Kluyveromyces lactis: one gene and its partners. The protein of the gene in region 2 purifies or fractionates together with the protein of the main gene of each other region. This does not show direct contact. Links are inferred from orthologs where the notes say so. Each region holds a gene or a part of one and is shown on either strand. Other genes may lie near its edges.

What was found.
Region 1: the proteins of RRP9 (region 2) and UTP4 purify together in Saccharomyces cerevisiae (affinity purification with mass spectrometry; 4 studies listed by BioGRID). This does not show direct contact. The link is inferred for Kluyveromyces lactis from reciprocal best matches to the Saccharomyces cerevisiae genes RRP9 and UTP4.
Region 3: the proteins of RRP9 (region 2) and NOP14 purify together in Saccharomyces cerevisiae (affinity purification with mass spectrometry, with the first as the bait; 3 studies listed by BioGRID). This does not show direct contact. The link is inferred for Kluyveromyces lactis from reciprocal best matches to the Saccharomyces cerevisiae genes RRP9 and NOP14.

Annotation. Positions count from the first base shown.
Region 1 is NC_006040.1:1,131,461-1,135,092, reverse strand, and holds UTP4 (small subunit rRNA maturation protein UTP4), read left to right. Parts: upstream 1-815; coding exon 816-3,026; downstream 3,027-3,632. Other genes in the region: condensin subunit YCG1, read right to left, coding at 1-576; KLLA0_D13200g (uncharacterized protein), read right to left, coding at 3,109-3,632. UniProt on the Saccharomyces cerevisiae protein: Involved in nucleolar processing of pre-18S ribosomal RNA. Required for optimal pre-ribosomal RNA transcription by RNA polymerase I together with a subset of U3 proteins required for transcription (t-UTPs).
Region 2 is NC_006038.1:970,227-973,571, reverse strand, and holds RRP9 (ribosomal RNA-processing protein RRP9), read left to right. Parts: upstream 1-1,107; coding exon 1,108-2,811; downstream 2,812-3,345. Other genes in the region: chromatin-binding protein CTF4, read left to right, coding at 1-742; KLLA0_B11055g (uncharacterized protein), read right to left, coding at 3,270-3,345. UniProt on the Saccharomyces cerevisiae protein: Involved in nucleolar processing of pre-18S ribosomal RNA. Required for efficient pre-rRNA cleavage at sites A0, A1 and A2, and biosynthesis of 18S rRNA.
Region 3 is NC_006039.1:1,426,652-1,430,410, forward strand, and holds NOP14 (snoRNA-binding rRNA-processing protein NOP14), read left to right. Parts: upstream 1-1,099; coding exon 1,100-3,613; downstream 3,614-3,759. Other genes in the region: proteasome regulatory particle lid subunit RPN5, read right to left, coding at 1-543; autophagy protein ATG9, read right to left, coding at 3,655-3,759. UniProt on the Saccharomyces cerevisiae protein: Involved in nucleolar processing of pre-18S ribosomal RNA. Has a role in the nuclear export of 40S pre-ribosomal subunit to the cytoplasm.

The DNA of each region.
Region 1 (3,632 bases), on a different chromosome or scaffold from region 2:
TCGAAGCAGATTCCTCACAAATCCATCAATAAATCCTCCGAAATGTACTTCCAAATTCCTCACATTTTGCTCATTACCATCTTCGGTTCTCATCTTGTTAAGATTCGACTCTATATTTGCGATGAACCCTGAAATCAACCGAACAATGCGATCCCCCACGATTTCCTGTTTCTTCAGCGGCAAGATTTTGACAGTCATTTTGATAAACCAATAATGAAACACATCTGATATCTCTTGCTCCACACATTTCAAATAAATCCTGTATAAGACAGCTACATGACGTCTGTGACCAGCATAACTCTTCTGCGCCACCTGGAAAACCTCCGCTATAGAATTCAGAACACGACGATTTGTAGGAGATTCTCCATCCTGAACATCCATATCAAACAATTGCACCCTTTTGGTCAATAATACCACGAGTATACACCAGGGAAAGGCTGCTATGAGGTTGCCGCCGATGTTTCTTCCACTTTCCTTTTCCTCTTTGTTTATTAGTTTGTTTATGTGAAGAGAAGATCCAATTGTAAACAAATCTCGTTTTCCCAATAGATCTAATATATCACGTGATATGATCATACTGTACGGTGTTGAAGCTAAACTAGTTTCTTTTTGAAAAATTTCAGCGTTAAGAGCACACAAGCTTAGAACAGAAGCTCATCTCATCGGATAACAAAGTCGTATATTTCTATCTAGTCAGTGAAGTTTTTTGATTGACATCAGCCTACAGTTTGTCAATCTTTTGTTTCATTCTAATACATTAGCTTTTGTTCTCTGATACAGGTTTAAGGTCCTCAATTTATAGAACACATTTGATCATGACTGATACTGGGAAGAAACAGGTAGTGCATCGATCCAGGTTTGTGCAGTTTACACCTGGTAATATAACGGCTCTTGCATTTTCACACAAAAGTACTGATAAAGCGGCACCGCAAGAGCTAAGACTGGCTATTGGTAGATCCAATGGTAATATTGAGATCTGGAATCCAAGAGATGATTGGGTACAAGAGTTCGTGATCTTGGGAGGTGAAGGAAGATCCATTGAAGGTCTTTCCTGGTGCAGTATTCGTGGAGAGCCTTTGAGACTATTTTCGATCGGTGGCTCCACTGTAGTTACAGAATGGGATTTGACAACCGGGTTGCCGTTAGTAAATTACGATTGTAACTCTGGTGTGATTTGGTCCATTGCAATGAGCAACGATATGAATAAGCTAGCGGTCGGATGTGATAACGGCAGTGTAGTACTTATTAACATCAGTGGTGGTAAAGGTGTTCTTGAGCATGAGAGCATACTTACAAGGCAAGAATCTCGTGTCTTATCGTTGACATGGACAGCCAATGATGAATCTTTGGTCGCTGGTTGTTCTGATGGAAGGATTAGAATATGGTATACTAAGGAGCAAGACGAAAACAAGGGAAGACTATTACATACTATGAAAGTGGATAAATCGAAGAAAGAATCTACACTCGTATGGTCTGTGTTGTATCTAGCTAAACAGAACCAAATTGTGTCTGGTGATTCTACTGGGTCGGTCAAATTCTGGGACTTAAACTACGCAACATTGACTCAATCTTTCAAGGTTCATGATGCCGATGTTCTATGTCTGGCTACTGATCTGGATAATTCACAATTGTTCACTAGTGGTGTTGATAGAAAGATTTTCCAATTCTCTTACATCGATACAGGAAAGAGCATGAAATGGATCAGTACTTCAAACAGATTATTCCATTCCAATGATGTTAGATCTATGTCCTCTTATCAATGTATGGGATCCGACTTCCTAGTGTCTGGTGGTATTGAAAAGTCTCTTGTCATGTGCTCAATGTCCTCTTTCGCTGAAGGAAATTATAGAAAGATGCCACTAGTTACCCCATTCCATAAGAGCATCCTGGTCAACAAACAACAAAGACTATTGGTGATGTGGCAGGATAATATCGTGAAGATATGGTATATTGGCGAAGACGTCAATGAGCCTAAGAACTACAAATTAGTTAGTAAATTGGTTTTGAAGGATGAACAAAACATCCAAACCTGTGCACTATCAACTGACGGACAAGTTTTATTAGTGGGAAGACTAAATACTACCAAAGTTTTCCATTTACAACCAACAGACAACAAATTGAAAGTAACAAAGTTGGACAATGAGTTTTTGTTGAGAACTGGTTGCAAATTTGCTAAGTTCATTGATGATTCTAGGTTAATAATGTGTTCACAATCTGATGAAATAGTTAGAATTGACCTTGAAGAGGATGACGACGAAAAAACCGTAACTATTGAGTTACCTGAAGCGAACTCAACGAAATCCAGCAATAAACTATCATATTTGAATGCAGTGAACCATTTAGATGCAAATGAACGTTACGCTGTTGCGTCTAGAGGTACCGGTGCTCTAGACTTAATAGATTTGACAACAAACAGTAGTAAAGCTTTAATTCGCATGAACAACTTCATCACTGCACTGTGCATCACACCAAGAGAGACTGTAGTAGTAGTGACATCAGAAAATAAAATATACGAGTTCAATTTGGAATCCGAGAAGGATCAACTACTCACTGACTGGTTCAAAGCCAATCATGAAAACCTCCCAAGGCAATTTACTTCCTTGAAAGAGAGATGCACAGGAATATTCTTAGATGAAATGGATGAGCATAAGGTATGGTTCTGGGGATCTAACTGGTTGGTTAACATCAACATGTCATTAGACTTGCCAGTTAGCAAAAGAAAGAAGCAAAAGAAGCGTGACCGTGACGGATTAACTATTTCCACTGACGGTCTACAGGCAGACGTCGATGAGGATGATGAAGACGATGAAGAACTCGAAGTTAAGGAAGATTATCTCTTAAAAACTCAGAGAGCGCAAGATGTCACCTCCAAGAAGAGATCTGATAAGGCGTTTTTCTATACCGATAAGTATAGACCTCTATTATTCGCTGGAAAGATCGCAAGTGACCAATTAATCATTGTGGAAAGACCAAACTTCTTGATCTCCCAACCTCCTGCATTTGAATTAGAAAAGTTAGTATTCTAATTTATAATTTCTGTACATTATTATAAACTCGATCTTCATCGCGAAATTGATTTTTAACATAGGGTCATCATTCCGCCGCATATCATCTGTGTAGTGTTCTTTCTGCTACCTTAATACCAATGAATGTCAAGAGCGAACTGCAAGCGAACATTTTATCAGACCAGACGTCGATTACAACATCAGGAATAGTGAATTTCTCACCCAAGAGTTGATTGACCTGTTTTGAGACATCATATGGTAAATTGGAGCGAATCATCAAGATAGTGGCAAGGATGTACACACCTGTCAACTCACACACAGCGAGGTTTTTGATGATCGAAGGGGGTTTCTTGGTATAGAATGCATCCTTATTGCTCGTAGGAAGCTCAGAGCCATTGGTACTCTGCATTGCAGATAACGCTAATAATTGTAGTTTGACAGGCAGTAATGTCAAAAGATAAGAGATTGTCGTAGTGACAGTAGAAAGAGAGCACACGAACAACGAGATGGACAATATCAAGGATATCTGTTTGATTAACGAATCCATGTCATTTTGATGTTCTAATCTTAGAACCAAGAAGTCAAACATATTGGCGAATGTGACAGCTAAGGGGTCCTTTTCAGTAC
Region 2 (3,345 bases):
TTCATTCAACCCCCTAGGTATCAAATCCTTATTCTTCTCAAGCTTTGGTGATCCGTGTATGTTTGGTCATGATAATGTTTTGTTAATTCTGTCCAAATGGAGAAGTGGTAGTGACGCGAGATGGGTACCCATAGTTGATACCAATTTAGAACTTTGGAAGATGTCAGGGGGTAAGCATCCGAAGAACGTCCACGTTTGGCCATTAGGATTAAACTTCGATACATTTTCGTATTTATTATTGAAGGGGAAGAACGCATGGCCAGATATCCCAATGACCGTTCCTACAGAAATGGAAGTCAGAATCCCAGTTGTATCAAAATCCGAGCTTCAAAAGACACAAGACGATAATCGTAACGACAGCAGCGATGTGGAAGATATTGATAACAGTAATGGTGTCGAAATTCCAATGTACCTAGCAGCAGAAGAGGAATTTCTACGCTCCAAGATACTAAGTGATTTACTAAAAGACACGATGGATAATGAAGGTGAGATATACGGAAATGAAACAGATCTATTACAGCATCTGGTAGCAACACATGATAAGTCCTTACTACGACTTTTAGCTTATGTCTGTTCCGAGCAAGATGTTAACAAGGCCGTTTCAATCGTCAACGAACTGAAGCAAGATAAGGCCCTATCTGCTGCAAGAAAAATTGCAGAAAGAGCTGAACTACTTCCACTAGTAAGAAAAATCAACACGATTATTGAGGCCAAATTTGAGGCCGATTTCAATAATATATGATAATCCCCTGTTCTTCTTATCTGGACTAGAATAAGTATTGTCAGTTTAAATAATAATTGATTTTCCGATCCGTGCATTGACGTTCATTTTCTGCCGTAATGTAAATTAAACTAAGTAATTCTAGCAATACCAATGAAATCAGGCATATAGGTCGTTGAATCGAGTAAAGTCTTCCAAACTATTATTTAATTCTGTTGCAAGTTCATGCATTCTTCAATTTTTGTCACTTTTCAAGTGGTGTCGTTTCTTTTACAAATTGGCGATACTGAAAAAAAAATTGTACATCTGAACCAACATCATTGAAACAGGCGATGAGCTGCAACTAAACCAGACGAGACAGCAACCAGAGGGCCACCAAGTACACCATGGCTAGATCTAGTACAAGCAATGTCTCAAAAAAACGTAATAGGGATTCTGTCGAAGAGGTAGATGAGGAAATCACGGATATTTCTTCTGATGAAGGTGATGTCCAAGATGAATCCAATGATGGCGATGAGGTAGCAGAATACTTGGAATCTGAAGACGAGTTTGAAGGCGAAAACCCTGCTGATAAGAGAAGAAGATTGGCTAAACAATATTTAGAGAATTTAAAGGCTGAAGCTGAAGATATTGGCGATTCTCTGGCGACCGCAAGCACTGAACAGGACCGTCAAACACAATTAGAGGATTACAATAACTTTGATGCTCGTGACTTGGACAGAGATATCATTGCTTCCAGATTGAAACAAGATGTTGCAGAGCAACAAGGGCGTATCTATAGATGGATTTCAAATAAGCTTTTGATAGGTGAATCCAGAACAACGTTTACAAGAGTAGGCGAAAATAATCTAACATGTATTTCGTGTTATCAACCCTCAGTTAACAAGTTTTCTCATAAAGATGTTCAAAATAAGAGCAAGGACAAAATATTTGCTTACACTGTTAGCAAGGACATGCAATTAACAAAATATGATGTTACTGATTTCAAAGCTAGACCAAAAAAAGTGAAATATGTTAAAGGTGGTAGAAAATACATACCGGAAGGTAAATTTGAGTACGAGAATGTGACAGAAGGTCATTACGATGAAATCTTAACGGTGGCAGCTTCTCCTGATGGTAAATACGTAGTTAGTGGTGGTCGTGACCGTAAACTGATAGTATGGAGTACCGAATCTTTAGCCCCTGTGAAAATTATTCCAACCAAAGATCGTAGAGGTGAGGTTTTAGGATTAGCATTCAAGAAGAATTCGGATCAATTATTCGCAGCATGTGCCGATTACAAAATCAGAACGTATGCTATTAACCAGTTTTCTCAACTGGAAATATTATACGGTCATCAGGATTTGGTTATTGATATCTCTGCCCTAAATATGGAGCGTTGTGTGACAGTGGGGTCCAGGGATCGTACCGCTATGTTGTGGAAAATAGCTGACGAATCCAGATTGACATTCAGAGGTGGTGATGATCCTGAAAGACTGAGGAAAAAATGGTTGAAGAACCAACAATTGTCCGCAGAAGGCGGAGAAGATATGCATGAACAGACCCCACCTCACTTTTATGGCGAGGGAAGTATCGATTGTATTAGCATGGTAGATGATTCACATTTCGTTACTGGCTCTGATAACGGAAATATATCATTATGGTCTTTATCCAAAAAGAAACCTCTTTTCACCGTTAGAACTGCTCATGGTGTTGTACCATTAGTTGAGGATAAAAAAATCTCTGGGGAAGTGAGCGATGAATTACGCAATGCACAATTACAAGGTGGATCCATTGCCCAACCATTTTGGATAACATCATTATACGCCGTTCCATATTCTGATATTTTCATTTCAGGATCCTGGAATGGAACCCTGAAGGTATGGAAAATCAATGAGAACTTAAGAGCATTTGAACTATTAGGAGACTTACCTAACTGTAAAGGTGTGGTAACCAAAATTCAAGCCGTAGAATCCGGCAGAACCGGTAGAGAAACCTTCAGAATTCTAGCAAGTGTCAGTAAAGAACATAGATTAGGAAGATGGATTAGCAAGGTACCAGGTGCAAGAAATGGTATCTTTTCTGCTGTGATAGAACAAACCGGATTCTAGTTAATCTTATCAATAGAAAAATCTCCTGTATAGTAAAAAGAAGAATACTTTAATAAAGCCGAAATACATTAGTAATTGTTACAAGGGTATATATTTATATATAGAGAGCTCTAACCGATCAATGATGTAGAGAACTAGGAAAGGATTAATAGAAATCATTGTGACATGATTTTGAGTAGTGTCTTTCATTGTCAGCCATGATAAAATAAGGTGTTAGAGAACGAATTTGAGAACAGATAAGATTTAATTCACATAGCCAGCGACGTAGAGAATTAAATGCGGGAACATCAAAGGAATAGCTCAAAGGATTAAAGGAAAAGATCGGGAAAAGTCAAATGGATTTTTTTATTTTAAGTATTAAGCGTTCCTCATGTTCTTGTAAACAAGCAAGGAACGAAAGAGTAATAAACAACACAAATCGTCTCAAGAGAAAGCAAACAACTCCCAAAGTAAAGGAATCATAGGAAGGCCAAAGCAATACCAGCGGCAGCACCAATCAAAGCGTCGTTAATTCCAACTTGGTAAGCAGCACCA
Region 3 (3,759 bases), on a different chromosome or scaffold from region 2:
TTGTTCAAGGATAAATTCAATCTTTTCATACATCTCCATGGACCCATACGTTTCCACTTGCAATTCACATAACAAGTCAGTGGCCTCATCGATCTTGTTCTCAGATCTTCTGATATGAACCAAATCTCTAGTGACTCTAGCTCTTTCAACTTCCACGAAAATCTTGTTCTCAGTCACGGTTCTTATCGTCTCAATAGTTTTAATCTTGGTGTCCAAATCCTTCAGGTCTTCCAAATATTTCATCACAGACTGAATCATATACTGCACAGATAACTTCAATTGACCATGCTTTTTTGATAGAAGCATGATTTGGTCGTTAAGTAGGTCCCATTGGTCTGCTGCGACCAAAACATCTACGATCTTAGTCAAGACTCTTTTCGAAGATGCTAAATCAGAAGATTGTCTAGTCTTCTTTTCCAACACTAACAATTGATCCAAAGCACTGGAATAATCATTCTTGGCCAAAATCTCAAGCTTAGGAAATTCAGCGTCCAAGATTTCGGTATAATCTTTCTCTGCCTTAATTGGAGCGTCTCTGGACATATTTTACGATATAATTTATACTCTTTTCTCTTTGCTCTGCCTGCTCAACTTAAACCGAAATGCAATACAATCAATTTCTCTGTATCCGTCCTGTATTCAAACCACACAAACTTACAGTCTCAGAACCGACACTGTAACCTGCTGTACCTCTGTTCGCGGTTATTTCGTATATATTTGCCACCTGTAACTGATTTCCTTTATTTCTCATAATGCCTTTAAAATGACAAGCTACGGTAAAAGCTTCCTCAGTAACAGTAACAATCGAATCTTAGAAAAACGTGACTTCATCATCGTTCGTAATGATTGTGCTGGATATTCGGGTAACCTTGATTTGATTTTATTGTGCGGGTAACTATTTTCTTTCTTTTCGGTGAAAAAGCATTAAAAGTTTGACAGAAGATGAATTGAGCGATGAGATGAGATGAGATGGGATTAAATCAAAGGCTGTCAGAAGGTTCAGTATCTTGGCCGATTGTATTGAATTGACTTGCATCATCAGTTGTGTTTAGACCATTCTTCTTGTCTGTGGGCAAATAGGTTACAAAGTCGAATAATAATGGGTGGTTCACAGTTGAAGAACTTGAAGGCCGCTTTAAAGGCTAATGGGTTGACTGGTCAGACCAATGTCAAGAAGAGTTCTAAGAAGAAGGGCAAATCTCCCAGGGAGTTTGATAGAGAAGAAAGACAGAAGACTATTGAAAGAATTAGGGAACAGTTTAATCCGTTTGATGTGAAAACAAATCGTAATAAAAAGGTTGGTGTGATGAGGGAATCTGCAGCTAAACTTGCAGTAGGTAAGCCGGGAATCACTAAACAAGCCGGTGAAGATCAACGTAAAATGTTCTACGAAGCCAAGAAGTCCAGCAAGAACAGAAGCGGTGGTGTCTTAGATAAACGTTTTGGTGAAAAGGATAAGAATTTGACTTCCGAGGAGATCATGTTGGAACGTTTCACAAAGGAAAGACAACGTCAATCTTCGACGAAAAGATCGTTATTCAATTTAGACGATAGCGATGGTGGTGAGGATGAAAACGTGTACGGTGAAAAGTTGACTCATTATGGTAAGTCTCTTTCCTTGGAAGATGATTTCGATGAAGGTGATTTGGGGTTACAGCATTCTGATTCGGAGGACTTCAGGTTGAAACAAGCTGGTAAAAGAAATATGGCGGATCAATACGGAGATGAAGGGTTAGGTGATGACGCTTTGCAAGAGCCAGCAAGAAAGAAGACTAAGGCAGAAGTCATGCAAGAGGTCATTGCTAAATCCAAATTTTACAAACATGAAAGACAAAAGGCGCAGGAGAAATTGGTCCAAGATATCGAAGGCCTTGATGACGATTTCGAAAGCATTATGTCTGAATTAAGGACGTTACCAAAGACTAAACCTTCTCAAACTGAGATTTCGACCTCCACAGACATCGCTCCAGATTATGATATCAAGGTGAAAGAGTTAGTCTTGGAGAAAAGAGCTGCCCCTGCAGATAGAACTAAAACAGATGAAGAGATTAAGAAAGAATATGAGGACAAACAAAAGGAATTGGAGCAGAAAAGGCTTGATCGTATGAACGGTATTTTCAACATTGAAGATCAAAAAGATGCTGGTGTTGAAGATTTGGGAGAAGAGTTTTGGGAAGATAGCGACTCTGAGGAGGGCGAATATGGTGAATATATCAAAGCAATTCCTGACTCGGATGACGACGTTGATTTCGAGAAGGATAACAATGATGACAATGAATACGACGCTACATCAAATGGTAGACCTTCAGCAAGAGTTATACCTTCTGTTCCATGTCCTCAAATTCACGATGACTTACTAAATTTCTTGAAATCTTATCCTATCGAAGAGCATCCATCTTTAGTTAAAAGAATAGTAAAAACATACCAACCAAAATTGGCTGAGGGAAACAAAGAAAAATTGGGCAAATTCACTGCTGTTTTGCTCAGACATATACTTTTCTTGGCTGAAGAAGATTACTCGGTTAATGTGAAAGAAATTGCATCATTACAAAACGAACTAGTAAGCATTCTAAAGACTCTTTCAGAAAAGTTTACCATTCCACTATCAGAGGATTGTAGAAATATCATCTCAGATATTCAGACTAGATTCAAAGAATCCCAGTTCTATGGACTATCTCCATCAGATTTGGTATTTTTCTCTGTTGTTGGTATGTTGTTCTCCACTTCGGATCACTATCATTTAGTCATTACTCCCTGTCTGCTTCTAATTGCAGAGTTTTTGGAACAAATTAGGTTCAATTCTCTTCAAAAATTAATATTTGGTTCGATACTGGTTAGAATCGCCATCCAGTATCAACGTATAAGCAAGCGTTATATTCCTGAGTTAACATACTTCTTGCAGACATCTTTGCGTTCTCTAATACCGAGTACCAAAGGGGAAACATTAGAAAACAAAGAAAAACAGGAGGACAATTTATCAATAGTAGGCTCGGATATTAACTGGTCCAAGGTCGCCCCTTCTTTAGAATTACACTCATTATTTTCCGAGGATCTAGAAAAGCAAGAATCTATCAAACTGTCCGTGCTGGTCAACAATCTAGAATCAATTGATTGGTGCATAACGAACATCTGGAAAGATCTTACTGCCTTCCCAGAAATCATTAATCCCTTCAAAGACATACTAAACGTGGCTGCCGAAGTATATCCTGGTACTTCTAAACCAAAACAATTAGTGGAAAAGATCGAAAAGCTATTGAAATTCCAAGAACGTCTGCCATTGACGTTGCAACAGCATAAACCACTGGCGATTCCATCAAATACGCCTAAATTCGAAGAGAACTTCAACCCAGATAAGAAGTCGTATGATCCAGATAAGACCAGAAGTGAGTTGAACAAGATGAAGGCGCAATTGAAGAAGGAACGTAAGTTCACTATGAAAGAAATACGTAAAGACACTAGATTCGAGGCAAGACAAGGCATTGAAGAAAAGAAGAAGGAGTACGCCGATTACCATTCCAAGATGGCACGTATTGTCAATCAAATCAGTACTGAAGAAGGTGCTGAGAAAAACAAATATGAGCGTGAAAAGAAGCTCCGTAATACCAAACGTTAACTGCATATTATATAATCTATACTCAACATTAATAAACTTTATCATCGATTGCGATCTGATTTTTTGTAATATTGGTTTAATAGGCCCATAACACCATTTCCCGCCTTCAGTTCGTCAGCATTATCAGCAATATCATCCTTAAAAAG